Linked DNA regions of Rhinolophus ferrumequinum. The protein of the gene in region 3 interacts with the protein of the main gene of each other region in a biochemical or structural test. Links are inferred from orthologs where the notes say so. Each region holds a gene or a part of one and is shown on either strand. Other genes may lie near its edges. The genes, in order: MAPK13, FOS, ATF2 and MAPK11.

What was found.
Region 1: of the proteins of ATF2 (region 3) and MAPK13, one has a biochemical effect on the other in vitro, tested with the Homo sapiens proteins (2 studies listed by BioGRID and IntAct). The link is inferred for Rhinolophus ferrumequinum from reciprocal best matches to the Homo sapiens genes ATF2 and MAPK13.
Region 2: the proteins of ATF2 (region 3) and FOS form a complex in vitro, tested with the Homo sapiens proteins (3 studies listed by BioGRID and IntAct, with this or other methods). The link is inferred for Rhinolophus ferrumequinum from reciprocal best matches to the Homo sapiens genes ATF2 and FOS.
Region 4: of the proteins of ATF2 (region 3) and MAPK11, one has a biochemical effect on the other in vitro, tested with the Homo sapiens proteins (4 studies listed by BioGRID and IntAct). The link is inferred for Rhinolophus ferrumequinum from reciprocal best matches to the Homo sapiens genes ATF2 and MAPK11.

What each region holds. Positions count from the first base shown.
Region 1 is NC_046286.1:6,070,728-6,078,636, reverse strand, and holds the start of MAPK13 (mitogen-activated protein kinase 13), read right to left. Parts: upstream 3,004-7,909; 5' UTR 2,908-3,003; coding exon 2,789-2,907; intron 1,976-2,788; coding exon 1,846-1,975; intron 636-1,845; coding exon 577-635; intron 1-576. UniProt on the Homo sapiens protein: Serine/threonine kinase which acts as an essential component of the MAP kinase signal transduction pathway.
Region 2 is NC_046289.1:23,387,378-23,395,192, forward strand, and holds the start of FOS (protein c-Fos), read right to left. Parts: upstream 3,016-7,815; 5' UTR 2,848-3,015; coding exon 2,707-2,847; intron 1,979-2,706; coding exon 1,727-1,978; intron 1,294-1,726; coding exon 1,186-1,293; intron 1,062-1,185; coding exon 420-1,061; 3' UTR 1-419. UniProt on the Homo sapiens protein: Nuclear phosphoprotein which forms a tight but non-covalently linked complex with the JUN/AP-1 transcription factor. In the heterodimer, FOS and JUN/AP-1 basic regions each seems to interact with symmetrical DNA half sites.
Region 3 is NC_046291.1:50,154,257-50,162,088, reverse strand, and holds the start of ATF2 (cyclic AMP-dependent transcription factor ATF-2), read right to left. Parts: upstream 3,015-7,832; 5' UTR 2,861-3,014; intron 1-2,860. UniProt on the Homo sapiens protein: Transcriptional activator which regulates the transcription of various genes, including those involved in anti-apoptosis, cell growth, and DNA damage response.
Region 4 is NC_046293.1:431,023-438,563, forward strand, and holds the start of MAPK11 (mitogen-activated protein kinase 11), read left to right. Parts: upstream 1-4,531; 5' UTR 4,532-4,886; coding exon 4,887-5,002; intron 5,003-7,351; coding exon 7,352-7,481; intron 7,482-7,541. UniProt on the Homo sapiens protein: Serine/threonine kinase which acts as an essential component of the MAP kinase signal transduction pathway.

The DNA.
Region 1 (7,909 bases), on a different chromosome or scaffold from region 3:
CTGGGTTCAGGCTAGGAAGAGCCCCAAGGTCCAGACCCACACCTGGGCCCCAAGGGAATGGTGAAGTGAGTTGGTGCAAACCCTGGGAGGATCGGTCATGATGTTCTGGTGATGTTAAAGCTGGGTAACACACAAAGCACCTCCCGTGTCTCCCCGAAAATAAGACCTAGCCGGCCAATCAGCTCTAATGTGTCTCTTGGAGCAAAAATTAATATAAGATCGGGTCTTATTTTACTATAAGACCCGGTATAATATAATATAATATAACATAATACTGGGTCTTATATTTATTTTTGCTCCAAAAGAGCTGATTTTGGGGGAAACAGGGTATGTAGCAGACAGCTCCATGCTGGGCAAGAACCCCACAGAGCCCCTCCCACCTCTTCCTGCCTGCCCTTCTCCGTACCCTTGGCTGAAAGTATCTCTCCAGAGAGAATCACACCTCAACAACAGCACAAGGATTGCCAGGGCAGGAAGCCCCCGCCCCAGAAGAGAGAATCTGGACCCTCCCCAAGCTGGCTCCAGAGTGATGCGTAAGGCCTGCAATACCCTGGAACCCAGTGCAGCCCAACTCACAAGTCCTGGAAGCTGCGCAGGGAGGAAGCTGGGGTGAAGACGTCCAGGAGCCCGATGACCTGGGGAGAAGATTGCCAGTGAGGGCTGAGCAGCCCCCTCCACGCCCAGCCATACACAGGACCACCCACCCTTTGCTAAGACATCATCTCCAGCAGGAGGCAGGTTCCCAGCCTTCTTGGAAGCAGTAAAGGGGCAGCAGCCGGAGAGGAATCCCAATTGGAAGGGAGCTTTCAGTGCTCAGTGGGGAATCATGCTGGGTAGAAGCGGAGGTGTGCTCACTGCCTCCAAGTCTGGTGTTCACGGCAAACAGCACAAACCCACTCTCAACTCAAGCAGGGACTCACGAGTGGTGAAGAGAATCAAGGAGGGAACAGGGGATGGGCCTGCCAGCTAGCAGGCTCCATGCCTTTGACCTTGGGTCTCCCATCACATCCATTCTTGCCTGCCAGAGGGCTGGTTCAGAGCCAGAGGCAAGAGGCCATGGGGAGGGTTGCTGAAGAGGAATGGGGCTTAAAATGTGCATTAAAAATTTGAAACATTATTTTAAATGTTTGCTTTCCAATCTAGGTATTCTAGAGCAAAACCTGCTTGCCAGGTGCAACACTGGGTCACTAGTTTTCCTAGTTGTTTCTATCAGATATCACAGTCTAATAGTTATGCACTGAGGCCTGGGCCCAGGCCCCCTAGGTTCAAGTCCCAACTCTGCCACTGACTAACCATATAACTTATGGGTCTTTTTATGCCTCAGTTTCCCTATCTGTACATGGAAGTAATAGTACTTGTGATACTGTGAGGATTAAACAAGTTAGTTTATGCAAAGCTCTTAGAACAGTACCTGGTGCATAAAAAGGGCTCAATAAGTATCTATGATTATTATTATTATTATCAGGGTCACATGTGGAAACATTAACCTAGATTCTGGGCCCTAGCTCTTAGATCTAGAACAAACTACAAAGTTCCTCTGTGTCCATTTCCTCCTAACAGTGAGATAGGAAGTTTGCACCTCACCAAGCTCATTCTGATCTACTACCAACATACCCTTTGCACCCTTTCTGGGAAGTAAGCAGGGCAGGTCCTGCACCCCATCTTAGTAATGAGGCGGGAACAAGAGTTGGAGGAGCAGGGAGGTGGTTCCCCTTCTCCTGGACCTGTCCTGAGCGCTCTGTACCCTCTGGAGCCATCTCCTGTGCACACACGGGGCCCGTCAGGACCCTGTCTGGGCTTCCCCTCTCCTCCCTGCCTTCCCCAGCAGCCCCAGACCCAGCCTACATTCTCATGCTGCATGTGTTTCAGCAGCAGCAGCTCTCGATAGGCCCGCCTGGCAACGATCTCAGACTGGAAGGGCCGGCTAAGCTTCTTGATGGCCACCTTCTCCCCGGACCGCTTGTCGATGGCGGAGCTGGAGAGGCATAGGCACGTCAGCAGGCAGCACTCTCCTGGCCGGGAAGTGCCCACTCCAGGTCCTGGGTGGTGTCTGCCAGGCCATCCTCACCCAAATCCCCCTTGGCCAGCAGGCTAGGCAGGGAGAAACGGGCGCCCACTGCCTGAAATGTGAGGGCGCAGCCAGAAGCACTGGGAGTGGGGCTGCGGGAGAGAGCAGGCCGGCACAGAGGTGCACCGCTCCTGCGTCAGACACAAGTTCAAGACACCAGAATCCAGAGCCCCAGGGACGCTCACTCTGCAACGGGGAAGACACTTCTCCCTCTCTGGGTCTCAGTGCACCCGTCTGTAACAATGGGTATTCTTCCGGAAGAGCTTCAGGGTCCCTGTAAGGTTCAAGTCCTGGAGAACCAGACCCGTCCTAATTCAACCCACAGGGACCCCACAAAGCCAGTGAGGAAAGTGAGATGGCGCCTGGGGTGGCCTCAGGCCAGCCTCTACCACAGCCTGAGGCTTCTCACTCATACTGTACTTTGCAGCCCAATCTGCTATCTCCTCCTAGCTCCACAGGTTGGGCCGAAGAAAAGCCCCTGGGAGGGTCTTCCAAGCCCGTGGGGTCCTCGGTCAAGGTGGTGAGCGCGCGGCCCCGGGCACCCAACAGGGGAGGGGACACCCACAGCGGGTCCGGGAGAGCGGAGGAGGTGCATTGGCCCGGCCCCCGCCTGTCGGGAGGCTCCACCTGTGTCCTGGGGCCTGGGCGCCCGCCGTCTGTCCGCCCGGACGCCCGGCTCCCCTCCCCACCCCGGTGGGCTCGCGGGCCCGGGGGTCTCACCATACGGTGCCATAGGCCCCACTGCCGACGTGCGTGGGGGACACGTAGGTCTTGGGCAGCTCCCAGGCGGTCCTGTTGACGTCCTGCTTGTAGAAGCCCTTTTTCCGGGGGAGGCTCATTCCGCGAACCCAATCTCGGTTGTCCCAGCGCGGCGGCTGCGTTCCAGGTCCGCCGGGCTCCCAGCACCCGGGCCCGCCCGCTGTCGGGTCCGCGCCCGCCCCGTGCCGGTGGCTCCTCCCCCGCGCGAGGGCGGGGCCGGCCCGCAGCGCGTCCCACCTGCCGGCTCGCCCAGGTGCGCCGCGCGGCCCCGCCCGGGCCTGCCTAGACAGTCTGTGCCCCGAGCCTCGGGTTTCCGCCAGGATCGCTGCCGGGCTAAAGTGGCTGCAGGTGCGCTGCCCTGCAGGAAGGGGTGCTTCCCGGCCGAGGGCTGGCGTGGGGGCTGAGGCTTGATAGACCGAGGGGCTCCCGCGAAGGGCGGCGGGTGGGGAGACAGGGCCTCTCCGCTCTCTGCAGCCCGGGACTCTGCAGGAAGATCTCTCCAGGATATTGAAGACAATTTCGGAAAAACAAAACCCCACAACATTTGATTATGGAAAGTTTCCAACATATACAAAAGTAGACAAAATGCCCAATGCTTCCCACACTTGACTGTGCACACGAATCCCCTGGGAATTTTATTTTAGTAAAATAGAGATTCTGAGTCAGTCGGCCGAGGTGGAGCCAAAGTTCTGCATTTCTAACCGGGTCCCAGGCTCAGAGGGCCTGTGGACCACACTCTGATGGTGGGGTTCTAGTGAACCTCCGTGACCCCAATCTCTCATCTTCAACGATTATATCAATTCTTAGTCACTTTTATTCCATCTACATCCCTCTTCCCCCATTATTTTGAAGCAAAACCAGGCGTCATATTTCATCCATAAATATTTTTCCTATCTCTGGAAGATAAAGGTTATTTTAAAAACATAACCACAAGATCATTTTTACACCCAGAATTAGTAACAGTAATTCTCCAGTCCAGGTTCAAATTTTCAGTTTTGAACACAGTTTTTGCTAGCTTCCCAGGGTCCCAGAGGCAGTGACAAGCCAGGGCCTTCTACCACCTGTGTCTGGTGGCTTGTGTAGCCTGAAGAAAATTCTGTGCTCAAGTGAAAACACAGAGGCCTCCTAGGAACAGGGTGGGGATCAGAGAATGGCCACAGAGGTCCAATGTCCAGCCTGACTTGTCCAACCCCTAGCTGGCCTGGGCAGAGGGTTGTAGAAGGAGTAGGGACCACTTGCTTCACCTTGTCAAACAGAGAGAAGATGTCTTGAAGAAGAAAAGGAACTCATTCATGGCCTACATCAAGCTGGGGGGCCTCACTAGGGTGTCAACAGGCCTCAAACCCTGTGCCATAGCCCCTCCCACCCAGTCCTTCAGCATGAGACACAGCTGAGAAGACCATTTGGGGGTGGGGTGGGGGGTAAGGATCCCACAGAAATGCCCAACAGGCATTGCAGGCAGGGAATCAGTCTTATTCATAGCTGGCACACTGTAGGATATCAAAGACTGTATGGAGAATAAATGGAAGAGTCAGCACTTTAGAAGTGAAAAAATATTTAGTTAATGAACACTAGTGCTTGCCATGTGCCAGTCATGTGTTTTACTTATACAACTCCCTTAATCCTGGTGAGATGCCGATGAGTCAGTACTATTATCCTCATTTTAGAGATGAGGAACCTGAAGTACAGAGAGGTTAAGTAACTTGCTGAAGGTCACACAGCTAGTAAGGGGCAGAGCTGGGTTGAAGAAGCTAGTACAACCTGGCTCTAGAGTCCATGATCTCAGCCCTGAGGCTATGCAGTGTCTCTGGGTTGTGAGGCATTGCTCCCTAAAGGAAATGGCCTGCATTTGAAATCATCTGCCTCACCTACATCATGAGGACATGTCTACTTCTCAAACTATGTCTCTCTCAGTACATCCTGCCCAGGGTATCTGACATACTGCTCACCCTCTTCCCTGCCCCACCCCCAACTCTGGCCCTGAGACCCTGTTGGAGGAAAAGGGCAGGGGCTAGGTGCCTGGGAGGGCTGTGGAAGTTTCCAACCTTTGGGGCTGGTGACACTGGTGGACGGCACCCTATTTCTGAAGTTGGGGTAGCGTCCTGGAAGCCAGAGTTCAGAACTGGGCACTGGCAAGACAGAATTGTCCAGGAGACTTAGGTTTCCTTCTGGGTGAGGATCCAATTCTCCAGGGCCTTGAGACTCTGTTGTGTGTCTAGAACACCTAAGTGTGGCAGAGGTGAACCCCAAAAGGTGAGGAGTACCAGGGAAACACTCATTGCCCAAGTGGGTGCAATCCTGCAACGGCACGAGCTGACCAGTCAGACTTTGGCTTTGGTGCCTCTTAGGCAACGGTCAGGAAGTGACTCAGGCCTCAGGCTCTGCTGACACTGACCCCCACCTCGGGCCTCTGCTGGGCCTGTGTTTACTCAGTAGCAAGGCAGCCTTGGAGAGAAGGATCTAGCTAAGGAAGTCACAAATGGGAGAGGAAGAGGGGAGAGTCCCTTAGGATGCCCTGGGAGCTCCCCTCCCAGAGCCCCTGGGGCTCTTTTCTCCTTGAGCTCCAAGGTCCCTCTGCTCTGTTCCCCCAGACACTGGCCTATGTTGTAGTGTTGGTTTCTGCCCTATTAACGCAGAGGTAGCGGGTAGGAAACTAACTCTGGAAGGAGACCTGATTTCCATCCCGGTTCTGCACTACCAGCTGTGTGACCTGGGACAAGTTCCTTCCCCTCTCTGAGCTTCAGTGTCCTCCTTATAAAGTGGAAATGATATTAAAGCATGACAAGTATATTGAAAGAGTCCTGGGGATGCAGTATAACAGCAACTCAGTGAGGTAGGGACTGGCAACGCCTCCCGCCAAGCATCACCAGAAACACATCTGTGGGTGGACGAGCTGGGTTTATGGCTCATTGCAGCAAGAGCACACATGCGCCATGGGAATCATAAGGCATCTCAGTAAGAAGGTGTTAAAAAGGACTTACAAGTTTTGGCCTTGTGTTAGGCGATGGTGGAGGGTTTAAGGAAGAAGGACTTTGTTCTGATTAGGAGCTGTTAGGAAGAGGAAGTGATTCTATGATGGGTATCTTAATAAATCTTACCTAGAAGGAGGGCCAACTAGAATGGAGACAGAGCTGTGAGCAGCCTTCACTCAGATTAGCTAGACTGGGGATGTTTGGTCATTTTCGTGGTTTGAACAATATTCATGTTTCGTCTGCATTCAGACATGATTCCGGAGTGGTCTTGTTTTTGTCTTGATCCATTGTGGTCACAGATGGCCTGTCTGTGTGCAACAAGAGCACACCCCGACCAAGCTGTGCCAGGCCAGCTCCAAGCCACACGGAACGGGCAGCTCCTAGATGTCAAGGCTGCTTTGCTGTTAGGATACTATTATTTCCCTGGCACAGATGGAGAAACCGAGGCCCAGAGGTGTTCAGTAACGTCACACATGACGAACAAGATTGTGGACGTGGTCTTCAAATGTGGTGTTCTGCTCCAGAGTCTGCACATTTAACAACCAATGAAACCGCCTGGCGCCCGGCAAATGTCTGAGAAATGGCTGTTATCGTAGTGTTGTCTTCCGAGGGAGGCTGTGAGCCTCTGGAGGGCAGGGGCATGGCTTTGGGGATTGATGACTGGCTTCTTAGAAACTGAAACAAGACCCCCACATGATTATGAGGCTGGCTGCTCATGTCTCCCATCTTGGCCACCCCGTTTCCATCTTACCTCAAGAATATGGCAGCGTGTCAAACACTACAGCCCTCTCTGTCCCAAGCAGTTGGGCCAGCAATTCAGATCCTCACCATGAGTGGCCATATGACCCCTACAAACAGGAATCATGACATGCCTGGGGTCCTTGTGGGAATGAAAGAGCCCGAGAGCTCCAGCCCCAACTCGGAGATTCCCACCCTCCTTCACACCTTTCAAAACTCCACGAAATAATCAAAGTCTCAATGAGGTAAGGAGAGGCAGAGGGGAAGACCTTGCACGTGGGGGCTGCTCTGTAACTTGTTAAGTCAGTTAGCTAGCCTCAGATGAGTTACTTAGCCTCTCTAAGCCTCAGTTTCCTCACCTGTAAAACAGGAGTGGATAATTCTACCCACTTCATGGGGCCATCAGGAGGACTAAAAGAAATGACGTGAGAAGTGTCTGATTCATGCCTGGCACTTAGTAGGTGGTCACGAGGTGCCCCTTCCCCACTGTTATCGAGCTTTGCCTCCCCAGCCCCGGTGTGTTTCAGGGAAGGTCTGTCTGAGGAGGAAACTTTTGAGCAACACCTGAATGGACCAAGTAGTGAGCTGTGCAGATCTCTGGGGGAGGACCAGACTTTTCCACTCTGTTCCCACATATGACCCTTCCCTCCAGCCTCCTTCTTCCTGTGCCATCCTTCCCCCTCACCCGCAGAAGTCTCTGGTACGTCCCTCAGGGGACTCAGAACGCCTGGGAGCAGCTTACTGCCTTCTGGCTTCCTGGGCCACCTTTCCCCGGTACCTCTTCTCCTTCGAGGGGACTCAGGGCCTGAGCAGAACAAAATAACAGGCTCCTCCACCTCATAGGTGCCCCGCGCCTGTAGGAGTCTTTCTCGCAGCCTCCCAGCCCCTCTCTCCCTGCCCTCAGCTTTAGCACCTGCCTGGTGGAGGACAGCGCTTAGGGACAGCTGCACTAGAGGGGCACCTCTCAGCCGGCCTTGTCGGGCCCTAGCAGATAGACTTCCCCTCTTCACACCATATACCGCCGGGTCCTCACTCCCCTGCACTCCACCCCAAGACTCACGTCCTTTCAGCCAGCCTGCGGGACGGTCCCTTTCCACCACTGGAAAATGACTCGGGGAGGCCGAGGACAGTATCTTGGTCACTGCTGAGCCCCCGGTACACACTGGCCCACGGTAAGTGATGAATGAATCAAAGATTGCTGTGTGTCTTGTGAGTACAAGAGGCAGTGAGGGGATGTGTTTGGAGACCCAAATGGTGGCACTGAGAAAGCAATAGTAGGGGGAATATGCTTGAAATCGGGTCCACTGTGGAATGTCTGGGTCATGTGGTCTCTGGCTGGGCACAATTTGTCCTGGGAGTTTTGGGGCTTTTC
Region 2 (7,815 bases), on a different chromosome or scaffold from region 3:
AGTAGTTATTGTTAAAATCAGCTGCACTAGATACAATTTGAGAATATCCAGCACCGGGTTAATTCCAATAATGAACCCAATAGATTAGTTAATGCTATGAGAAGACTAAAGAGAAAGAGAAAAGAGACACAGACCCAGGCCTGGCTCAACATGCTACTAACTACCAGCTCTCAGATGTATCACTGGGAACAATACACACTCCATGCGTTTTGCTACATCTCCGGAAGAGGTAAAGACTTGAGTCCACACGTGGATGCTTTCAAGTCCTTGAGGCCCACAGCCTGGTGTGTTTCACGCACAGATAAGGTCCTCCCTAGGTCTACAGGAATCCTCGAGGGAAGACGTGTTTCTCCTCTCTGTAATGCACCAACTCCGGCAGTGGCACTAGTACGTGCCTGCTGCCTCCCCTCTCTGCCTGCTCACAGGGCCAGCAGCGTGGGTGAGCTGAGTGAGTCAGAGGAGGGCTCGTTGCTGCTGCTGCCCTTGCGGTGGGCAGCCGCACAACTGGGGAAGGAGTCAGCCTCAGGGTAGGTGAAGACAAAGGAAGATGTGTAAGTAGTGCAGCTGGGAGTACAGGTGACCACGGGGGTGCACAGGGGCTCCAGCTCTGTGACCATGGGCCCCATCCCCAGGGAGCCACCATGCAGGGGCTCCCAGTCTGCTGCATAGAAGGAACCAGACAGGTCCATGTCTGGCACGGAGCGGGCGGTCTCAGAGCCGTTGGGCCTGGACGAGGCTGGGAACAGGAAGTCATCAAAGGGCTCGGCTTTCAGCTCCATGCTGCTGATGTTCTTGACAGGCTCCACTGAGGACTTGGGCTCAGGGTCATTGAGGAGGGGCAGGGCGAAGGCCTCCTCAGACTCGGGGGTGGCAGCCTCCGGCAGGCCCCCACTCAGATCAAGGGAAGCCACAGACATCTCTTCTGGGAAGCCCAGGTCATCAGGGATCTTGCAGGCAGGTCGGTGAGCTGCCAGGATGAACTCGAGTTTTTCCTTTTCCTTCAGCAGGTTGGCAATCTCAGTCTGCAAAGCAGATTTCTCATCTTCTAGTTGGTCTGTCTCCTGTATACAGAGGGATAAAGCAAAGCATAAGACACAGTATTGCTCAAGGACATTGCTCCCTTATGCCCAATCTCCAACTTTCCCCTTAAGTTTTAAAAAGAAGTGACCCAAGAAATCTACCTACCGCTTGCAGTGTGTCAGTCAGCTCCCTTCTCCGGTTCCGGCATTTGGCTGCAGCCATCTTATTCCTTTCCCTACGGATTCGCCTTTTCTCTTCTTCTTCTGGGGACAACTAGAAGAAAAAAAGTCCAACATTCAATAACAGTGTCTGCCATCAGCTCCATTCATCCACCCCAGCGAACTGACTCCTGCAGCTTCCTAGCTTCCTGGCACCTCTTCTGCGAGGCCATTTATTTCTATGTAACCTGCAGTTAGTTGCAGCCTGGGTGTGACTTGCATTTCAAATAAGATTCTCAGCAAGAGAATGAAGAAGAGCCTGGTGTAAAAGCATGAGCTAGAACCTCTTAGGGAAGAAACTATTAGGATATTCCTTGGGGTGGGACTATCAGAATCTGACTCGGCATAGAAATGGCTTGGAGCCAGAGTTCCCGGTTGGGAATGTGGAGTCAGTTCCATCAGTGCCTTCAACCTATCCACTGTGCTCCCCATCTCCACCAATGCTGACCCGGCTCCCTGTAGAGAGAAGGTGCGGATGAACTCCTCACCTGTTCCACCTTGCCCCTCCTGCCAATGCTCTGAGCTCTGCCTCCAGTCACGGTCTTCACAACTCCAGCCCTGGAGTAAGCCCCAGCTGAGGGGGTGGGAACTCCATAGGGGTGGGGGGCTCTGGTCTGGGATGGGGCCACGGAGGAAACCAGGGTGGGCTGCACCAGCCACTGCAGGTCCGGGCTAGTCGAGATGGCAGTCACAGTTGGGATGAAGTTGGCACTGGAGGCGGCCAGATCCGTGCAGAAGTCCTAGAACGAAACAGAAGGGGGAAGCTGATGTGAGTGAGCAGCCTCGGGACACAGGTGGCCGAGTTCCCAGGGCCGCATGCAGGAAGGAGAGAGGGAGTAGACACGGTCCTGCCAGGGGCTGCTCCTGTCTTTTTAAATGTCCCTCGTCCTGGATAAAAGATCTGCCCTTTTCCTCCAAGATTAGGCAGCGCAGAGCCTTTCTCCTCCATCCCGCTGCTGCGTTCCCGTTATCCCTTCAGCATCACTCGCTTGAAAGGGGGTTTGTTATAAATATCCCTGACGTCTGCGCTGACGCAGGCGCCGCTCCGGAGTCTCCTGAATGAACTCGCTTTTTATCAATGAAACTGCCTTACACACCCGCCTGCTTCGCCCTCCTCCCCCGCCCCTGCACCAGACTGCAACGGGAGGGGGGATTGCCGCTTTTGCCGCCTCCCGAGAGAAGCCAGGTTCCAGTTAGCATGTCTTTGCTTGGGACACGTTTGCCCCAGCTAGTGTCAGAGACCAGACAGAGAGCGCGGGCCGGGGGCAGCTCAGAATGAGCCTGCCGCGGGAAAGGAGAACCAATTGTTACTGACAAGCGTGTGTGAGCGCCCCACAAGTCCGGGACTCGCGAGTTAGGGCTGCTCCCTCCCCGCCAAAAGGGGTACCCGACTCGTCTTCCTGAGCTTCCCGCCCGATGCCTCCACCCCAGTGACCCCGAGCCCTGGGCTCGGTGAAGCCAGCCTTACCTGCGCATTGACAGGAGAGCCCATGCTGGAGAAGGAGTCGGCGGGTGAGTGGTAGTAGGAGAGACTGTCCCCAGCTGGGGAGGCGCTGCTGCAGCGGGAAGAGGCCGCGTCGTAGTCGGCGTTGAAGCTGGAGAACATCATGGTCGCGGTTAGTCACAGCCGGGCGAGGGGCTGAGGGAGGCAAGCAGGTAGGAGCCGTGGGGCAGAACTGGGTAGGAGCGCGGTCACTGCTCGCTCGCTGCGCCGCCGCCGCCGGCTCTATCTGCACTCCTCGGCTGCTCGCTGCAGATGCGGTTGGAGTACGAGGAGCCGCAGCCACCGCTTTTATAACAGCTTTTTGTGAATGAGCCCAATGACGTCACGGCGCAAACCATTGCTGCGCTGGAGGGGTGGCGCGCAAGTCTCGACACATCTGCGGCCTCCTTGCTGCCTCCGCCGCCCTCGCAGCCCCCAGTTCCCGTCTTGTTGTGTTTTTTTATCTTATGAACGTTTAGCATTGAGTCTTAGGGGTTTCGTGGACCCCCTAGGGTGAGGGACTGCGGGGATGGCTCCCCGCACGACCGCAGGGACCGGCCGTGGAAACCTGCTGACGCAGATGTCCTAATATGGACATCCTGTGAAAAGGGGGAAGGGATTGACGGGAACTGCGCTCCGGCTGCAGCCAACTCCGAGGGTGCAGCGTGGGGGGAGGCGGGGGCCGCGACCGGGGGAGGGGAGGCGGGAAAGGCTCAGAATGCGAGCGGACGTTAGCACCTGCTTCAATGCGGACCCTTGTTCCCGCGGTGAGGGGAGGGGGGCGGCGCCTTTTTACCAGTATGCAGAAACCAAGGAACAGTTCTGAGGCTCAGGTATTGGAGAAACAGGTAAACAGCCCCGAGGGCTTAAGCCTCGGCCCGCGAAGGAATGGGGACTCCTCCTCTATTCCCAATTCTAGCAAGTTCTGTGCAAACTGTGGAAGCAGACCTTCATCCCCTCGCCTCAAGCCCACGGGCTCCAGCAATACTAGGACTGTTACTGCGTGCGTTTGGAAGCTGAAAGTCGGGGTATCCGAAATAAGAGGATAACCGATTTTTATCTATTATGCTAGGTATTTTCATTTAATTTTATTTTTTGTTTTTAAGGAAAAGGGCGCATTTTCTTTCTCGGTCATATATGGAGACATCAGTGTTACTGTCAAACCCCTGAAGCACTAGCCAATAAACATTGTGCAGATCCTCCAAGCAAGGATGTCTGAAGGGTTCAATTGCCTGATTCTGAGCTGGGGCCCGGGGCGTGGGGTTGGGGTCGGGGATGTTATGTGGATAAGGTCGTCAGTTCCTGGTTTCAACTGGAGCGAGCTCTTGGGGGAGTGCAAGCCCAAGCTGGGGAAGTGGGGGCGATCCGGTCCCCCAGGAAGCTGGGCTTGCTGGGAGCCCGCAACGGGTGATTTTCCAGCCGGGACTTGAAGGGGGAGGGCCGGGGGCGCTGGAAGGACGGTGCCCAGTAGCGCCCAGGCTGGAGACCTCTGCTGCTGGGACCTCAGGCGCAGCTCTGTGGCCTGAAAAACGAGGCTCTGGAGCGACAAGGTGCTCGGGAGGGCGCTGCGCCCCCAGAAACCCCCCAAACTCCTGCCCGCTGCAAAGGACAGCCGGGGTCACACTACCCCGGCTCGGTCCCAGCACGCCGGCCACCTGCGGGGCACGAAGCCGCAGGTCCCCGCAGAGCCCTTGTGTCCCTTCTCCCCGACTCTTCGGGTCTGGGGGTCACGGTGAACACCTGGAGAGGGTCGAGGAATGATTAGGACACTGGGCGGATCCTTCGGGACGCACTGGGAGCGCGACCGCGACCTGCCTCCCGCCGCCGCACCCGGGAGCCAGGCGATCCAGCTATAGATAGTAACAGGGAAGCGGCTGTTTACAGCAACACAGCGCCGCCAGGGCCGTCTCCAGGCGACGCCGCGCGGCCGGGCGCGCCGTCCGCCTGGCGAGGCCGCCCTCCCTCCTCGCTCCCCCAGGGCCTCGGCCTCCCTGGCCCGGCCCGGCTGCGGCCACTCCTGTCGCCTGACATCATCCACGGGGTCCGCGGGCTGAATGCGGCTCGCGCGCGACTGTGCGCTAACCTCCATTCTTAGAGATGCGAACCCCGCGGGAGCAGGGAGGGCAGGGAGGCGGGGATTCGTGGAACTGGGCCACTTGCTATTTTTGCATTCCCTGTCACAGGCAGAGATGAAAACAAAATTTCATCATTGTATGTCACTGGTTTATGTCGGTGAGAATTTAGGCGCTTTTTTTCCCCCCCCGTCTCTTAAAAAAGGGGAGAGGAAGGAAAAACACATAATACATAAATACAGACTACTCAGAGCTACTCTGAATCCTAAAGCAATTTTCCTAATTCTATCATCGGTCAGGCTACTTCATTATCTTTGATTATTTAATTTAAAAAAAAGTCTATGAAGGCAAATCCATCTCTCTCATTATTAGCTTCGGACAAAGTAGGTCAGGCTGTGAATTCCTGGGTCTAGTCTTGCATTCCATTCATAACTGTGTCTCCAGCCTCTTAAGAGAAAACCTAGAATAATTTCATTTACTTCCCCTTCAGAGTCTTGAATCAGCTTTGGCCAACATCTAAAGGTTGTATCAAGATTTTATATGCAGGATTTATCTCATACCTAACTTATCCTGCCTATGCCAATAAAAAGGGCAAATGGGCTTTGGATGAACCTGTCTCCTCCAGATAGCTTAACTCTTTCCTTCCTGGCACCATTATGACCAGAGTTGGAGACTTAATCCATCCTCTGAAAAGGACCATGACTCCATCCATGAATTCATTTATTCTTTTATTTATTGAACAGAACACTTGAGAGCCTCGTGTGGTAGGGCATTGTGCTGGGGGCTGATGCTTACTAAAATAAACAAGGTGGACTTGTTCCTACCCTCATAGAGATTCCAGTCTCATGGAGAAGACTGACAAAGCAATAGAGAATTGCAGGGCAGCAGTTAAGTGGTTTGACAGAGGTAAGAACAGAGTGCCATGAAGAGGGTATGAAGACAGGTATCAGAGGAAGTGACTGCAATACAATTATGGGGCTTGGAACCACTGTCCTCTGGGAAACAACATGATAAAGATTGAAATGTCAGAGCATCATCTGGAGAAGCAAGTGCTCAACTCAAAGCAGTTCTATCAGATGATACAATCTCAGACTCACTTTCCTGCCCCACTAACATCTGAACCTGTGATCATTCTAACACACTCTCACATCTCAATCTGTTCATAGTATCCATTTCAGGACTGCAAAATCACATTTTTAATATGGAGTTCACATGACATAGCCTTAAAATAAAGAGAAATCAGAATCATCATTGAAATGATCTTTGCCATTTGCGAAGGTCAGGGTGACTTTGAGACAGATGTGTGCGTGCCTCTGAGTACCGCTTTGCCTTCCAGCGGGGCAGAGGTTCCACGTTCTGGACAAGCCTGAGCATCTCAAACCCAAACTTACGTTGTTTGTGATTATCTACGTGCTAAGTTCCTCCTATTTGGGGATCCAGAAGTGAAAAGGAGGGTAGAATCCCACATCTGATTTTAACCCAAATTGAAAACAAATTTATTTCTCCTCAGCAGTTGTTCCTTATCAGATAGAAACTTTTCCAATTTTGCACTTCTCTGGCATTTGAGTAAAGAGACCTGACCCACATCAAGCATTTGTTCAATAACTCTAGAAGTCAGTGTTTAGCCTGGTGCTATTGCAACATTAAGTGAAAGGCTGCTGTCTGAGCCACCTACGTAAATGCTGCCACGCACAACACGTCCCCAGCATGCAGAAGTAGTTATTTATTTGGGGAAGTGTGGTCTAGTGGTGAAGGATTGTGGTCGGAGCACGGGACCAGAAGTCAGGAAAATGCGTGTAGCAAAATCAACTCTTTCAGGGACTAGGGGAAGTCGCTTCTTAGACTTGTTTAGCATATACATACTTTTGGCCTTTGTCTTTTTCATATACTGTTATTCAATTAGCACCTAGCACAGTGCCTGGTGCATAGTAGGTATTCAATAAATATCTATTGAAGGGATGAATGCCCTATCCAAGCAAAGGAAATATATATTATTGTCCTTTTTGGGTACTTAGAAGTCAAATCGATAATGTTCGTTAAATCTTTGGAAAGGCTGAACAGGCTGAGTCTTTTATTCTTGGGTATGAATAGGCAAAATTTGGGAAAGAGAAAATAACAAGATGTTAGAGCTATTTTCAGCTGGTGCAGCCTCTGTGTATAAAGAACACCCCAGTGGTTCGTGATGGAACATCAAACTTGCCTTTGTTATTGAGCCCCACACATAAATGCCACATTGTCTGCAGTGACAATGACCGTGTTACCACCACCCTCTAATTTATTCATTCTTAATGTCTGGACCCAAAGAGGAGAAGCATTCCACAATTCCTGCAGGACTCACACACATGTGAGCCCAATTAAGGGTCTTATGGGTCAAGGTTACTCACTCTATGGCTCAGACAGAAACCAAAAAGACTGCCCCTATTTTAAAAGATTGGAGGCATAGGCGTAGCACCACCATCACCACCACCGCCACTAATTAGTAAGAGATTTAGTCTCTGAGAAAAACTGTTTTCATTCTGAACAACTTTTGGCTTTTTGACAGGAGATGATGATTCAATGGGATCCCCATCCTTCTGCTAAATGCCAGCATTTAAACAAAGAAGTGTGGTCCCTGGGACATGCTCCATCTGAAGCTGATGAAACTGGAGAACAGCTATGGTGCTTAAGAAGGACATATTTCAGCCCAAGCTTCACCATAGGAAACTCTCATTCTGTCCGTCATGCCAAACCTTGCTGCAAAAACAAGAGCTCCCCGTCAGCAGACAAGCAAGTCTTCTCCAGGCTGTCAGCAACTTGGATGAACTTCTGCAGCTCTGGTGGACTTAGCTGCTCTAATTCCAAAGGAACCCCATCTACGTCACTAAACCTATAGGACACCAACACACCCTGACTAGAAACTTCAACTGCAGGCCTCCCATCCAATGAGAAAAATCTCACAGTCAGCATGGGCAGGGCAGGGAATGGCTAAAATGGGCTGGCTCATGACGCACTCCAGGGTGTTAAGACATCTCAAGCATAGTTT
Region 3 (7,832 bases):
TGTAAACGAATATACCAGTTTCAAGGTTAACAGAATAAATGAAAATAGTATATATAATATACAGAGGATGCCAAAAAAATGTATACAGAAAGGAAAAAACTGTACTAAAATTACACTGACGGTAACCACTTTGAGCACCTCTTGTAACTGCGGAAGTCAAATGTGACTTGTATTCATCTTTTGTTATCGGTATATATTGAGTATTACAATTTTAATACAGTATTTTTCTTTCTTAAAATGTGTATAATTTTTGGAACCCTCTGTATATGTATTTATAATTATTAATTATAACATATGACATATTTATAATAATATATGTAAAATAATTCCAATTATTGTTGGCCTTAAAGATCCACAAACTTTCTTAAATGCCCATGAAACTATACCTTATACTAACTTTTTAACCGTTAGCTCAAGAAAGAGAACAAAAGAAATAACATGTTTTGTGGTGTTTTTCCCTAGAAATAGGTAAATACTATCACTATTACCTCACCAATAAAAACTACATTAAGAGAACATGTAGCATCTTAGGTAAATTAGTTAGCCTCAAGGAATAGGTGTGAGTATAGGATAAACACAGAAATACTAAGTTAAACTACTGAGTATAGCAATGCAAATTTATAGCTTCTTTTTTTAAAGTACATTTTAATTACAGAGAATAGATAACAAGTACTACATGCATTGATTTCTATAAGGATGAACTGAATTTCCAATTGTTGTTATTGGGTTTTAAACGAGGTTTGATTATTTGCCTAAGCTGATACAGATAATAAGATCCAGAGTTGATCTAACATGATCTAACAATTTTAATACCAGCAGAGAACATATAAATCATTAAAACCCAACTTTTCCAAATTACAAAAATTTAGGTAGAAAAAATGTAATGATTTCTTGAGACGTAATACTAGTTACAAGTAGCAGACATTCGATGCATAGCATATAATTTTTTGATATTCATAGCTTCAAAATAGTGAATATCAAAAACAATCATCCCTGCATGTTATTTGTTAAAAGAGCTGACATAATAACCATTTCTACTTTTACCTTAGTTGAAAAATATGAAACAAAAACTCCAACTAAAAAAAGTAAATACAGGGATTTCTGGAATACATATTTAATAGAACAGAACATAGTGCCCCAAATATGAAATATTCTAATAAGGTATTTATAAAAGAACTTTCAGGAAATGCAATCAGATCTACAGAAGGCATTATGTACCTTAAAAACACACAAAAAAGTCCCTGAAAGCTCCTTTCTTACTGACAATTCAAACACAAACAACCAAATTCTAAATTACCACATTATATTTCAAATAATTTAAAACGTAATGGCAGTAGCATCTTCTCAAAGATTAAACATGTTTCAGGAAAGCAGCATACACACCACTGTAAATTTGCAAGATTCCTATAAATTACAAAGACTAGGATTGTTAATTGTTAATGATTGATGGCCTTAAAGATCTATGAACTTCCTTTATTCTGTTACTTGATCTTCAGAAAGACATCTTTTTTTATAATACATACTTTATATCAATATTCCTGCAATTTTGAAAAGTGTACAGTGGATTCCTCAAGTCAGTGTAGCAAATTGAATTAGGAGACATAACTGCTACTATATGTGTCATTAGGGCACTTAATCCTGTAGGGTTGACTTTTTAACAAGCTACTCACCTTCATAGCTTTGTTACAATGGACTAAGAATACATGGTTATTTAAAGATTATGCCTAGAAAGGCTATTACTGACAATGCCAGTGGTTATGAATTTCTTCACATAGGACAAAAAGTGTGCTCAGAGAACAGTTTTGTTCTGATTTCAAATACATACATTAAATTTATGCATTGTTACCGGTTCCATAATTTAAAATTCCTAAGAAATTGTAGCTTTCACATTATAATTTAGGGATTACTCAATAGGCCTAAGGTCCATCAGGAGTTATCACTTTTATGCCATCGTATTCACTGTAGTTTTGTTCTTGGCCTCACCAGTTTTAAGACTCCCCATTAAGCAAAGACAGTTTTATACTACCTAAGGGCACAAAAGTAGTCCCAGGTCTTTCACCCTCACCCGCCTTCCAGCGTCGGTTCAATGAGCGAACACAGAACTCTCTCTCTCTGGCCCTTCGGGCATTGATAAAAAGCACAGGTTATTTCCCACCAGCAGCTCTGCAGTGCACCCAAGGAGGTAAAATATGGGGGAAAACACAAGAATCAATCTGCACCCACACTCAGCCCCGCCCCAGCGGGAAAAAGTGGGGGGTGGCGGGGGCAGCAGGGACAGGAAAGGCCGAGACTTCCAAGTCCCAGGTTCTCCATACCATTTGTTCTATCGTTTCACCGCAGCCAGAGAGACCCTGACCCTATTTTCAGCCGCGCCTCCCTACCCACCTGCCCGCCACCATCACAAACACAGTCCCCAACCACTGAGTCCTGGGTGGGGAGACCAGAGCCAGCCCTCTTCCAGGGTAGAAGCGGTCTCCCCGAGCCCTGGGCGCATCCGACGTGTGGCCCAGGGCCCTCTAAACTGACCAGAGAAGATAAACCGGGGGGAGGGGTCTCAGAGCCGTTATTCCTTTTTCCTCTTCGTTAGGAAAGCGTGCGAGCGGGGAGGGGCCGGAACAACGAACACCGGTTACCTAACGGTCCGGCCCGGCCGGTCGGGCTCGGGCAGCAGACGCCGCGCGGCGGCCGAGGCGGCAGCACAGCCACAGTGGCCGGGAGGCTAGGAACCGAGGCAGGAGCGCCCGAGGTGATGGGGAGCGGGGGGTGGAGACTATGGTGAGCAACGTCGCCATGTTAGTGCCTTCTTTCTCCGTATCCCTACAGTGTCTAGTCCTGTGGCCCTCTCCCCATCATTACTCACCTTTCCAGGTCACTCATTCATGCTTCTTTCGGTCGCCAGCGAGGCCTGAGCTCAACCGTGTTTACAAACTACCCCTGGAGGAAAGGGCTGAACGGCACTTTAAAGGCCACGGGCTCCCACAGGCTTCCGTCCTCTCTCGCGAGATCGGATTGACAAGCCTTCTCCCCGCCCCACTCCCGGCATTCCCCCCCTTTCTTCTCGTGCCCCTCCCCTCCACGCTCACGCCCCTTCTTCTCTTCTTTCAGACCGAGCGCCTCGGGGTCAGGTGATGCCGTCAGACCTGAGGGGAAGGAGGCGGGACTTCAGGAAGGCGGGGATGGAGGAGGCGGAACCAAAGACACTCAGTAGCTGATGATTGGACAAAGCGCCCGGAGGGCGGGCAGCAGTTCTGGAGGGGGCGAGACCACAGAGCCAATGGAGGTGTCTCGGTAGCCCGGCCCTGCGGAAGCCTGTGATTGGCAGCCGGCTGGGTGTGGGACATTGGGGCAGGTGGAGGGTGAGGTCACGGGAAGAGTTTGACGGTGTGCAGAGAGGCAAGGTGAACTCTGGAAAGGCTGTGAGTGGCAGAGAGAGCGCGGGCTGAGTCCCCCGAGCCCAGCCCCGGGAGCCCGGTATTTCCGTTGCTGTCACTTCCTGGCCCTGGGTGGGAAGAAGGTAAAGCATAGGGAGGCGCGCGCCTAAACCCGTCTTCCGGTACCCTGAAGCCTGAGAGGGGGAGTCAGGATTACGCTGAGGTTTGGGAGGGGCGGAGTTTGCCGGGAAAAAACCCGCAAACCAGCTACAAGCTTGAAGCGGGAAAGCAAGTATGTCAGTTCTAGAAAGAAAAGAAAAAAACCTTTACTCTGAATGGCGTTCGAATTTCCCTAAGCTATAACTCTAGAAGTGATTCTTTCAGCTCCTAAGCACCTACAGCCTTTCCCTGAAAATAAGACCTAGCTGGACATTCAGCTCTAATGCGTCTTTTGGAGCAAAAATTAATATAAGACCGGGGTCTTATGTTAGATAGGACAGGGTCTTATGTTAGATAAGACTGGGTCACATAGTAAAATAAGACCGGGTTTTATATTAATTTTTGCTCCAAAAGACGCATTTAGAGCTGATTGTCCGGCTAGGTCTTATTTTCGGGGAAATGTGGTAGTAGTGTAGTGTATGTATGATGTTAGCATATAATTATGTTCGAAGTAATTTACCAAAAGGAAATAGAATGCCTTTTACTGTACCACTAATTTAAAACAGTGCAAGAACTTGTTTATAAGAAAAGTCTCCCATATTACGGTGTATCCCATTTTATTAATTTCCTTTACTTAGCAGATATAGATAAAATTTATCAATTTAGTAGAGATAATTTCAGATCTTTAAAACATCAACAACTCTATTTTAGAGAGACCCAAAGGACACCAAATTAGAATATGGCATAGAGATGGCACTCTTTCCACAATACTATCCCACTGCTTAATAGGTGGCTGCAATGCCAAAGAAATGTCTGTCAAGCTTTGAAAGTAGCTGTTTAAGAAGAGGAGAGGGGCAGATCACTTGATTAATTTAACGTGAGAGACAAAAGAGACCATATTTACTTCTCTGCCATCACTGTCACAGATAAACTCCTAAAAACACAGAAGTACAATGCTGAAAATATTTCTTAATGTTCTATGATTCTCTATACAACTTAAATATTTAAATGTTAACTTTAGGGATATTGATTGTTCAATAAATGCATACTGGCACAAATTGAAAAATATGACCAGGGCCCCTGTGAAATTTCCATTAACTACTTTTTAAAAAAGCAAGTTATTTTCACTTTCTTGTTTTCCATTGGTAGGTGCTGATTTCTAGTCTTCAAAAAAATTATGAGTAAATTTTAAGTATTAACATAAAATGCACTCACAAACATCTCTAAACCAAAGTGAAACCGAAATTGTTGGAAGATTGTGGGAGATAGTATTTGAGAGTTAATGAACCTGCAGTTCCGTAATGGTATTTGGCATAAAAGTGAAATTGTAACGGCACTGGGTCTTTAACAGGTTTCTGGCCTGTATACATGTACAAGAGCCAACTCACTTTTAAAACTAATTTCATTAAAAGAGACCAGAAAGAAGCCAGGTTATTAACACTGTTTACTTCTCAAATTAAATGAAAGTACCCTCCCTATATAGTAGCAATAACATTGTAGTAGAGTTAGTGTGTAGTGTAATACTGATGATGAACATCTAATGGACAAAATGTGCAACTAACAAATCACAACTTCTTACGTCTAGAATACATTATTACCTAATGTGTTGCTACTTCTCTCCATCTCCCAAATTGTCTAATGTGAGAAGAAAAAAACTATAAATGCTACGGCATTTTTTTTTTATGCTATGGCATTTTAAAAGAAGTTTGCATCGATTAGAGTAGTTTTTTAAACTATTATTTTTCATTCACATATCAAAAATTTGAAATTCTTTTCTCCAATTTTGATTTGTTTTCAGTTGACAGGTTCGGTTTTAAATTTTTCTTTGTCCCTATTTCTCCAGTCTAAGTAATTATCTACATAATGCACTAGAGCAGGGGTGTCCAAACTGTGGCCCGCAGGCCAACTGCAGCCCACGATCCATTTTTTATTGTCCCGCAGCAAATTCCAAAAATATGTTTAGTTTACTTAAATAAACCAGGTGAGGCAACACGTACTTCACCTCGAGTGAGTGGCCCGGCTGTTTGTGTATTTTACCGCATATGGCCCTGGGTGAAAAACGTTTAAAAAAGGTTGGATACCCCTGTACTAGAGGTACATGTTATTTTAAAGAAAGTCTTTCAGGAGTCCTCTTAGACAAGAGAAGAATCATTTAGTAATACAAATAGTACTCTTATTTGCTGTGAGAATGCCATTTTAAGCTAATTTTCTAAAGAGAAGGTATAAAGTGAGATAAAATTAAAGGAGATCAGGGAGAAAACGGGTGGGAAGGATGCAAATCTGTTCTGTATGCATGTTGACAGCCTGGCGGTTAGCAAAGGCTCTCACTTTACCAGCTCCACAGCAGTTCATTTACTATAGCTTTTCTATAAGTGGAGAACATTGGTGTAGACAAAATGAATATAATTATTTTTGGTTCTGGTCCTGTGAATGTGTAAGTCTCATATTTATCCATATCCTTATAAAATACTTTCTTTATATTTCAGTTTTTTTCACACTTCCTCATTCCTCAGTATTCCCCAAAAGCCCTAATGGTCTTTCCAATCTTTTCTTTACGAATGCAGGAAGCTTCTTCTGGACCCATTTTTTGCCTGCCTTATTATTCCATGCATGCGTCTACCCAGCTTACTCCTAGGAAAATTAGTAAGGATCTGGTAAACCTCCTTTAAGAACTCAGGATAAAACTGGCATCCTTTATTACAAGAACAGGTTATGAGAAGAAAACTTGTTTCTATTGCAAAATACCCATTACTAAATACCACACAAATAAAATAGTGGCCTCTAAATGCTCTCAAAACTTTCCAAGTGCTACATATGTGTATTTCCACCTCGTTTAGAAGTATTATGTGGTTGTTAAGCCATTTTATAGTATTGCTTATAAGAATTCTACTAAAACCTTGCTCAAATTAGATAGATAAGGAGGGAAGATTTAATTTATAAAACATAGCTTCTGTTTGTCTATAGCTAAACAAAACATAACATACTCCAGGATATCCCTTATATCTGCCTTGGACTCAGGGAAAGAGCCTCTGCATTTTCCCAGGTATCCACAAGACGCTGCCCAGGACAGTGCATTAGCTGGGATTTTGCCAGTGAACTCACTAGGGTGTGTGGTGTGTGATGTGTGTGTGTGTGTGTGTGTGTGTTACAAAAGGCGTGGAAGAAGCAGAGCATGATTATCCACCTACCTGATACCAGAGAGAGGAGGACAGCATGGCCTTAGACATTTTAGTTGATTTTTAGGGTAGCTTCTATCTCATGGCAGGTCTTCTTTCCCCATCTCTGACAGCCCAGGGTGCACGTTGCCGCAATGACCTGTTATAGTTACCTGCCAGGGCCTATCCTCACTATGGAAATGTCGATTCAGAACATTTCACTGCAGGGAGGACCATGTCCACCTCCCACCTCCAATCTTTGGTTTCTCAAAATAATGTATTTATTGTGTGTGGCATTGTGGGGAAATAAATGAGAGGGCTGTGTTTATCTTCAAATCATACCAATTAGTTTATACCAGCTTCAGTGAGACCAGCCCAAGGACAGAGAATGCAATTTAAGGGCCTTATTTTCATCTTTCATACCAATACCTTCAACCAATCTTTCATCCCACTCACTAGAAAGAAGGCTTTTCATTATATTCTGCTTTCCAATAAAAGTAGATAGAATCTCTCCTAGGGTAAATAATTTTGTCTGGCATTCCAGTATCTACCCTTCACGGCTAATCTGTTTGTCAACCTGAGGCCCACATAATACAAAAGCCATGAATTCCTAATGCCAGAAACCAAGGAGGATCTCGGCACGTGGACCCTTCTGGGCCTTTAGACTAATACCTTGCTCTTTCCAGTTACCTTCTTACCTTGGACACAGGCTTCTTGGGTTAACTGTCAACCGAATGCTCTATCTCTATAGTTCATTACTCATAAAGCTGAGATTTATTGAGCATGAAAATGTCAGGCACTGTTTCTGGCTCTGAGGCTACAACTATAAGCAAGACAAAGTCCCTAAAGGAGAATCTCATTGGAGAGAGGAGACACAATACATGTATAGACAGTGAGATAATTTAAAAAATGGCAAGTGCTATTCAGAAAATACAGCAAGGGTATGAAAACATGCAGTATTGTAAGCTTACTTCTTTTATATGACTTTAGAGGACTTGAGAGCTACAGACATTTTAGATACCTCGAGAGATGGATAAATGCTTTGAGCTCTCCTTTAGATACAAGTCTTGAGGGAACAATACTGAGCTGTCCAGGGACTGAAAGACTCAGCCAACCTATGTAGCTATTTGAGGAGGCAAACCTTGGG
Region 4 (7,541 bases), on a different chromosome or scaffold from region 3:
TCCAGGTGGGGTCTGAGTGCCTGCAGCCCCAGGGCCTTATGCCCCGACTGTCTGCCCGCCCTGCCTGGGCGGGAGGAGAAAAGCGGTACGATGCCTTCCTGACCTCACCTGGCCTGCCCTGCCGGACACCGGCATTCCCGGTGGACTCGTGCTGAGGGCCCCACCTCAAAGGTCAAGCCGGACGTCAGACGTCGAGGCCCAGGCGGCCAGCGGGGACCCAGCCTACTGGGAGTCCTGGCCTCGGCCTGTCAGACAGGCTGTCCTGGGGGCCCTGCCCCGGTCTCGGGGACCAGGAGCAGCTCTACCCAGGACCATCCCCACTCTTTTTGTAAATCGTGTTAATTATAAATCAAATACAACTGTGTTTTTAACTTGGTTGGTTGGCTGGGTTCCTCCTGGGGCAGTCCGACATGCTGTCCTGCTCACAGCCTCCCTCCCAGGCCCTGTTTGGCCCTAGGATCCCACCCTCAGGTGAGCCTGTGGGCTTCACACCGCCCACCTCCCTGACTACTCTGGGCCAGGCCTGGGGGTTGTGCAGAGGCTAATGCCCACCAGCTGACTGAGTCCACACCTTCCCTGCTCTGCCGCCCCAGAGACCAGGATGGTCAAGTGTTGGCAGATGAAGCCTCGGGTATGGGAGGGGCTGGGGGCAGCTCAGGCCCAAAAGAGATCCCAGAAAGGACTGTGGTTCCAGAGAGGTACAAGGAGGCAGCCCTACCAGGCAAGGAAGTTGGGGGATTGGGCTGGCCGGACACCTTCTGGTGGCCAACACATCCCCCAACCCCCTTTGGGCTGGGCCACTAGGAGCCATGGGGCTAGGGGTGGGCATGGTATCAGCCTACCATCTGGACCTTGAGTTCTCGGGGACTGTTTCTTTCTGAGGTGAGGGTCCCCCCAGTACACATTTAGTAAGCCCTTACCTTACTGTATGCAGACCCCACCAGACACGGCTGGCTCTGGGGTAGACAGCCCGGTGTCCCCCTGTTTGAGGCAGTGGGGCCATTAGGGGGTTTTCTCCTCTGTCCCCTGAACCACCCAGGATGACTCAGGGCATCAGTAGGGCTCAAGGGCCCTGTGTGGGAGAGCAATTGGCACCTTTGCTGATGCCAGAGTCGGGGGAGCTCCCAGTCATGTCCTGCACAGGGCAGGGCCTCTGAGCTGTGCCACCTGCAGCCACCAGGCACGTGTGTGTGCAGGTGAGTGCACAGCATCTGTGCGTCCATCCCCTTAGGCTGCATGCACTGTCCTGGGCACTAGGGACACAGCAGTAAATGGGACAGACACAGCCAGCTCTGGGGGAGCCCCTGTGCCCCAAGAGTACCAGCCTACGCAGAAAGGGGATTTGGCGGCTCCAGAATGAGGAAGTGGAGGTGGTGCAGCTGCAGGTATGGCTGGATCCAGGTGCTCACATGTCTGGGTCCCAGCCATCTGAACTGCTTCCCAATTCATGTGGGTTTATCCTTGGGCAGCAGAGATGCTGGTGGCAGGCAGCCCCAGCCTGTGACTCTTCCCCTCGGGGCACATAACTGGAGACTCCCATTGGGCTAGGACTTGACCATGAGCCACTATGCATGGGGGCGCCCCGTTCAAGCCCCATGGAACGAGGGTGGGTATCTCCCACAAGGAAGGGGTACTAGGCAAACAACTGACAGCCCCTGCCCAGGGACCCCTGAAATGACACTGCTATGGGCACACTAGGCTCCCCGCTTCCCAGAGTCACAGCTAGTCAGGAAATCTGAACAAGTTACTGCTAAATCAGAGTTAGGAGGAAGTGCTGAGCCTGGCAGGGGGCATTGAGGCCTGGCTTTTAGACTGGACCTGTGTGGGCCACTTCTGCCCTCCCACCCTCCACACTCCCAACAACCAGGCAAGAAGATGAGGAAGTCAGTGAGACCCTCTTCCGCTCTGAAGCGTGGAGATAGGGGAAGGGCCGCAGGTCCATCAGGTGGGGTGCCCGCCTTGGAGGACAGGAGTGTGAATGCTCCAGGGCCGGCCTTCCGTGGGGCTGGTGAAGGGTAGATACCGGGCTTGGATGTTGGGGTGCATGGGAAGGGCAGGCCAGCCTTGAGTGGTCAGGATGCTGACAGACCTCTTGCTTTCCACTTACATTTTCTCCAAGGTAGAGGGAGTGGGGAGAGACAGTGATGGGAGGGGGCCGCCGGAATCCCTGGACTTTTACTTCCAAGTTGCAGGCACCACCCCCTGGCTTAAGAGCCCGAACCCTACCCCCCCACCCCAGCCAGAATGGCATTTTAAGAAGTTTATTGTGACCTCTGGGAGAAGTGCAGCTAGCCCAGCAAGGGGCTGAAAAGGCGGTGGCCTGGACCAGAGGAGGGATGAGTGGACGTGGAGAGAAGAGCTGGGCTCTAGATATTTAGGGGTGACAATGAGTCACAGGGTGGAGAGAACAGGCCAGGCCTGGGTAGGCGGCCCTTCTGTTCAGCCCCCTGTCCCCCAGGTGAACACACCCCATCTTACCACATTCCCAGCTGCTGTCCCAGCCCCACACCACCCGCTGCTCCAGGTCCAGTGCTCTCACCCAGAGGTGGCAACCTTGACGTGGTGGCCTGGGGGATGCTAGGAAAATATGCAGCAGACTTCCCATCACCCTGATGTCAAAAGTCGGAAATCCGGGCTGTGCTCCTCCCCCACCAGCCTGCCACAGGCCTCTGCCCAGGGCCACCCATCTTTCTGTTCCTTAAGTCCTTGAGAGTCAGGGCTCTCTTGATGCCGGGCCCAGCTCTGCTAGTGTCCCCTCTCCAGCGGGTTTCCCGACCTGCCCTACTCTGCCTGCCGTCACCCCCACCGGAAACTCTCCCTAGCCGTTCCCCTGCAGTGTTACAACCCGGACCCTCCCCAGAAGACAACGTGGTGGGGCTGCTCAGTGAGTGTCCCCACTCTGCATGATCCACTGAGCCCGGCAGGGAAGCCGCTCCTCTCTGGTCAGCTCTGACCACTCACCACCGGGATTCCGGGGGAGCGGTGGGCAAGGTCCGGCATGGGCTTCCTTGAGCAGGCGGACTCCCCCACCCCTGGGGAGAGCACGGGGTTGCCCAGCTTCCGCGCAGCGACCCGGCCGGTCGCCATGGGAATTCGCTCTAGCCCGCGGGTCCGCGCAGACAAAGGCCAGGCCTTCCCGGGGCCCCACAGCCCGGTTCCCACAGCCCGGCTCAGCTCCCGCCCAGCCCTCGGCTTTAGCTGAAGCCCCATTAACTCCGCACAAAACCTCGGCCACCGGAGAAAGGAGCCCAGGGCGGGGCCCTGGAGGAGGCCCGGAGCGGGTGGCGAGGGGAGGGATACCGCCTCCCGGGGGGGGGGGGGGGGGGAAGTGAGGGCCGGTGGCTCGGGTGGCGGGCGTGGCTGGGACTCAAACCGTTTCCTTTCTCACTTCTCGAATCCCCGGAGTCCGGATTCGCCAGCAGACATGTCTGTTTGCCCGGTTCTGCGTTGACGTATTTTATTTTCATTTGGTTGCCAATATTTAAAAATCAGGAGAGTTCCATAACTGGGGTGGCCAGTTAGCTCAGTTAGTTAGAGCGAGGTGCTGATAACACCCAGGTTGCCGGTTCGATCCCCGTATGGGCCAGTGTGAGCTGCGCCCTCCTTAAAACAACAACACTCAGGTTTTAGTTTGTTTCGAAAAAGCAGAAGGTTGCCCAACTCAGGAGCCTAATTTCCGGCTTTCCTGGGAAGGGCAGCCCAGCCACTGCCTGGGCGGGGGTCAGGAGGCGTTTATCCAAGGGGAGTCCTTTCCTCCGAGCCCTAGTCACTGGAGGGGGAAAGACAAGCAGATGCGCCGGCCCAGAGCGCTGGGCAGAGAGCGAGACTATCCTGCTGGCACAGGGGAGCACCCTATTAGCCTGTGAGAACTGAACCGTTCAAGCAAAGTGCGTTGCAGGAGTTCGCAGCCCCTGGGAACTGCAGTTGGTTGCCAACTACAGGGGCTCCCCGATACCTGGGAAAGTCAAAGTGGGCTTCCTGGAAGAGGTGACAGTTGACGGGGCTGTTTCAGAAGGAGGAAAGGTACCAGGCACCAAAGAAGACCCATTTGGGGAAAGCTTCTTATGGGGACAACACCCTGGAGGGTCCCCGGGCGCCGCCGCTGTCCCTGGTCCTGACAGGCCTCGCAGTTTCCCCTAGAGGCGCTGGGCGGCCGACGTCAGAGGAAGGTCTGCCCGGAGGCAAGCCTCACCGCCCAAGCCAGAATGGCCTCCACGGGGAGGGGCCAGGCTGGCCCAGGAACCGAGGCGCCATCTGCCCACCGCAGAGGGGCGGATTCAACCCAGTGCCTCGCTGTTATTAGGCGGTGTTTTCTATGTTGATGAGAAATGTCTCCCAGGGTTCGCCCTGGCTTCTTTGATTTTGAGTGTTCTACTTCATTTCTGAGGAAGCAGCTGGTGGCGGGGGTGCAGGGCCCGGCAGCAGGTGTGTGGGGAGGGGGAACGCGTGGACCCGAGCAGGCGAAGGGAGTAGTTGTAAGTGTCGCACCGGAGCAGGGAGGGACGGGGTGCAGGACCCGAGGTGGGGAGAAGGGAGGTGCCGGCGCTGGTGTGGGCTGGAAGGGTGCGGGAAGCCGAGCGCGGTGCGAGGCGGTGGCGGCCTGGATCAGCGGCTCCCGGGCGGGTATTTGGAGAGGTGCATGGACCCCAGGAGGTATAAGCGGGAGGGGCTGTAAGTCGGATCCTGGCCTCCCCCTCCCCCCGGCGGAGGCCCATCCTCCCCGGGACCGCCCCAGGGAGACGGGAGGAGTGCCGGTTTCCGCTCAGCAGTGCCTCGGAGGGGCAGGAAGCCGCCTTGTCTCCGGGAACCCCCTCGAAGCCCCGCCCCGCGCACCGCCCTCCGTGCGTTCGGCTCGCGCTCCGGTGCGGCGGGGGGCGCGGACGGACATGTCGGGTCCGCGCGCAGGCTTCTACCGGCAGGAGCTGAACAAGACCGTGTGGGAGGTGCCGCAGCGGCTACAGGGGCTGCGCCCGGTGGGCTCGGGCGCCTACGGTTCCGTCTGGTAGGGGCGGGGCGGGGGGGGCAGGGGAGGGACTGAGCGCGCGCCACCACCCTCTCCCCGCCCGGCGGGGGTTCCCTGAGTGGGGAGGGGCCTCGCCCTGCCTCCGCCCCAGGCCCTGCGCGGATCTGGGGAATGAATGGGGGGTGGGAGACGGGAAGGAAACTTTCCAGACGCGGCTCCGGGGGGGGAAGAGGGGTCGTCTCCCGCTCCTTCTGAGCCAGAGTGACCCCCACCAGGCCAGAATCCTGCGGCGTCACAGCCGGCGAAAGGGCGGGTCTCCTGGACCATAGACGTCCGAGCACGCATCTGGGTCGCCCCGTTTAGGCTCTGGCAGCCCAGAGATCTGGCAGATGCCCCCGCCCTAGGGCGGGTACTTTGGTTTGTAAAAGAGCCCAGCTAGGGAGAGGGCAAGACCCCTCCCCTTAGGATGGCCTCAGGCTTTCCCGTGGGTCCTGCCCCTTCCCCAGTCTTGCAAAAGAGTCTGGATGGGGCTTAGGCCTGAGCAGAGACGTCTGCCACTACCCCTACAATCCTTAGGGGTACACCCCACCCTGTTTTTGTCCCAACCAAAAGAGCTCAAGACCACAGCCCCACAGTTAGGTCCTGGGGCCCAGAGAGAGGACAGAGCCTGGAAGGGAGACGGAGGGTTCGAGCGCTGAGGTCTTTTACCCTGGAGGGTGGGGAAGCTTCAGGGGGCTTAGGGTGAGTGAGGTGGTTGCAGGCAGTCCCGGCGTCACTTGTAATGTTAAAAGTGAAGCTGATCGTGGGTGTGGATGTTGAGAGGTGTCCCCCTCAGCACTCAGTGGGGTCCTTACCCATGCCAGTAGCAGGTGACTGCTGTCCACTGCAGGGGTCATGCGGTGAGGAGGCAGGGGCCCTCGAGGGGCTGGCATTGCTCCAGGATCTGGAAGGTAAAGAATGGGATTTCCAGTGGACCCGAACCTGAGACCCAGTGTTGGACTCTGGAGGAGGGGTTTGGGTTCCCCATGGTCTCTGATCTCACGCTGTCAACGCTGTCAGGAGCCTCAGGCAGGCCATTTTAGCCACAGCCTCTGTCTTATCTCTAAGATGGCAAGGGCAAGAGGGTCAGGGACAAAGTGTGAATGGCCCCTGGGGAATCTGACCGAGCCCTCGCTGGAATTGCCTCTGGCCCAGAGTCACCTTCTGGGAATTCCTCTTGAGTGTCAAGCTCCCAAGGGAGGCCCAGGTCTCTCTCCACTGCACTTAGCTTGATGAGGCCCAGTGCCGGTGACAGCCCTCTCCTGGGCTCCCTTGTTCCTCTGATGAAGCTGTCCCCCCAGGGCCAACTCCCTGTGGTTCCACTGCACAGACACAATGAGGCCAAAGGATCTGCTGCCCCACCTGAGGGGCCCACCCCTACTTCCCACCCCAGGAGTGACTTGAACCTTCCCCAGCAGGTCACAGGCTAGGAGGAGGGGCACAGATGCTCCAGGAGCCTACCTGGCTTCTCCTCCCCCCACCACCTGGTTCTGCAGGAGCTGCTGGTGGGACTGTGTGGACTCCGCAAGGTCCTGAGGCAGGAGGTGAAGAGTCAGGGAGGCGCAGCAGTTAGAGGGAGCGGCCTGTGGAGCTAGTCGCCTTCAGCAGGGCCCTGTCCTGGGCACAGTGGGCGTCAAGGGGGGGGGTGATGCCAGTGACTGTTGTGTCTCCCCATGAAGAGGAGATGGGTGTGCAGGTGGAGGGTCTGGACCTCTGAGGACGGGTTGAGCCACGGAAGATCTGTGGATGCAAATACCACCTTCGGCTAGACATTTCCTTCTGTCGGGTTGCTCACTGTTGCAAGTAATAATGCCAGTTTTTCCTCCCTATTTTGCGTATCCAGAGGCTTTGGAGGCAGCTCTGAAACCTTCAGGGAGCCTCCAGACCCACAGCCCATGGGGGAGGGGGACTGTTTGCTGTGGGAATAGCCAGTAGCTGTTTTTCTGGTGTGTTATTTCCACCCTGGTCAGTGGACACTTTGCTCTCCCAGCCTCGCTGAGTTGGGCGTGAGAGTCGTGGGGGTGAGGGGACAAAAGATCCAGTCCTGCTCTGGGGCTCTCTGGTGGGCAGGCTGGGAAGGCCTGCGTGTACGGGTGCCGTGGAGGGGGAGTTGCCTCTTGAGGAAGGAGGCTCAGAGGCCGAGCAGGTCACATTCTCATCCCTGGGACCCTGCGGCAGCACACGGATGGCGGTACAGCCCCGAGAGATCCTCTGGAGCAAACGGGCCGAGGGAGGAAAGCGGCGGGCGAGCAGGGGTGGGTTAGCGGTGCCATCCCCGCAGAGGAGTGGCGGCGGGGGGTGTCTGTGAGCGCAAGGCCCTCGCCGGCCGCCTCACCCACGCCCTTGCAGCTCGGCCTACGACGCGCGGCTGCGCCAGAAGGTGGCGGTGAAGAAGCTGTCGCGCCCCTTCCAGTCACTGATCCACGCTCGGAGGACGTACCGGGAGCTGCGGCTGCTCAAACACCTGAAGCACGAGAATGTGAGCTGGGACTCCCCGCGGTGGCGCGCCGGCGGGCCTGGGCCGGGTCGCCCTCCTGAC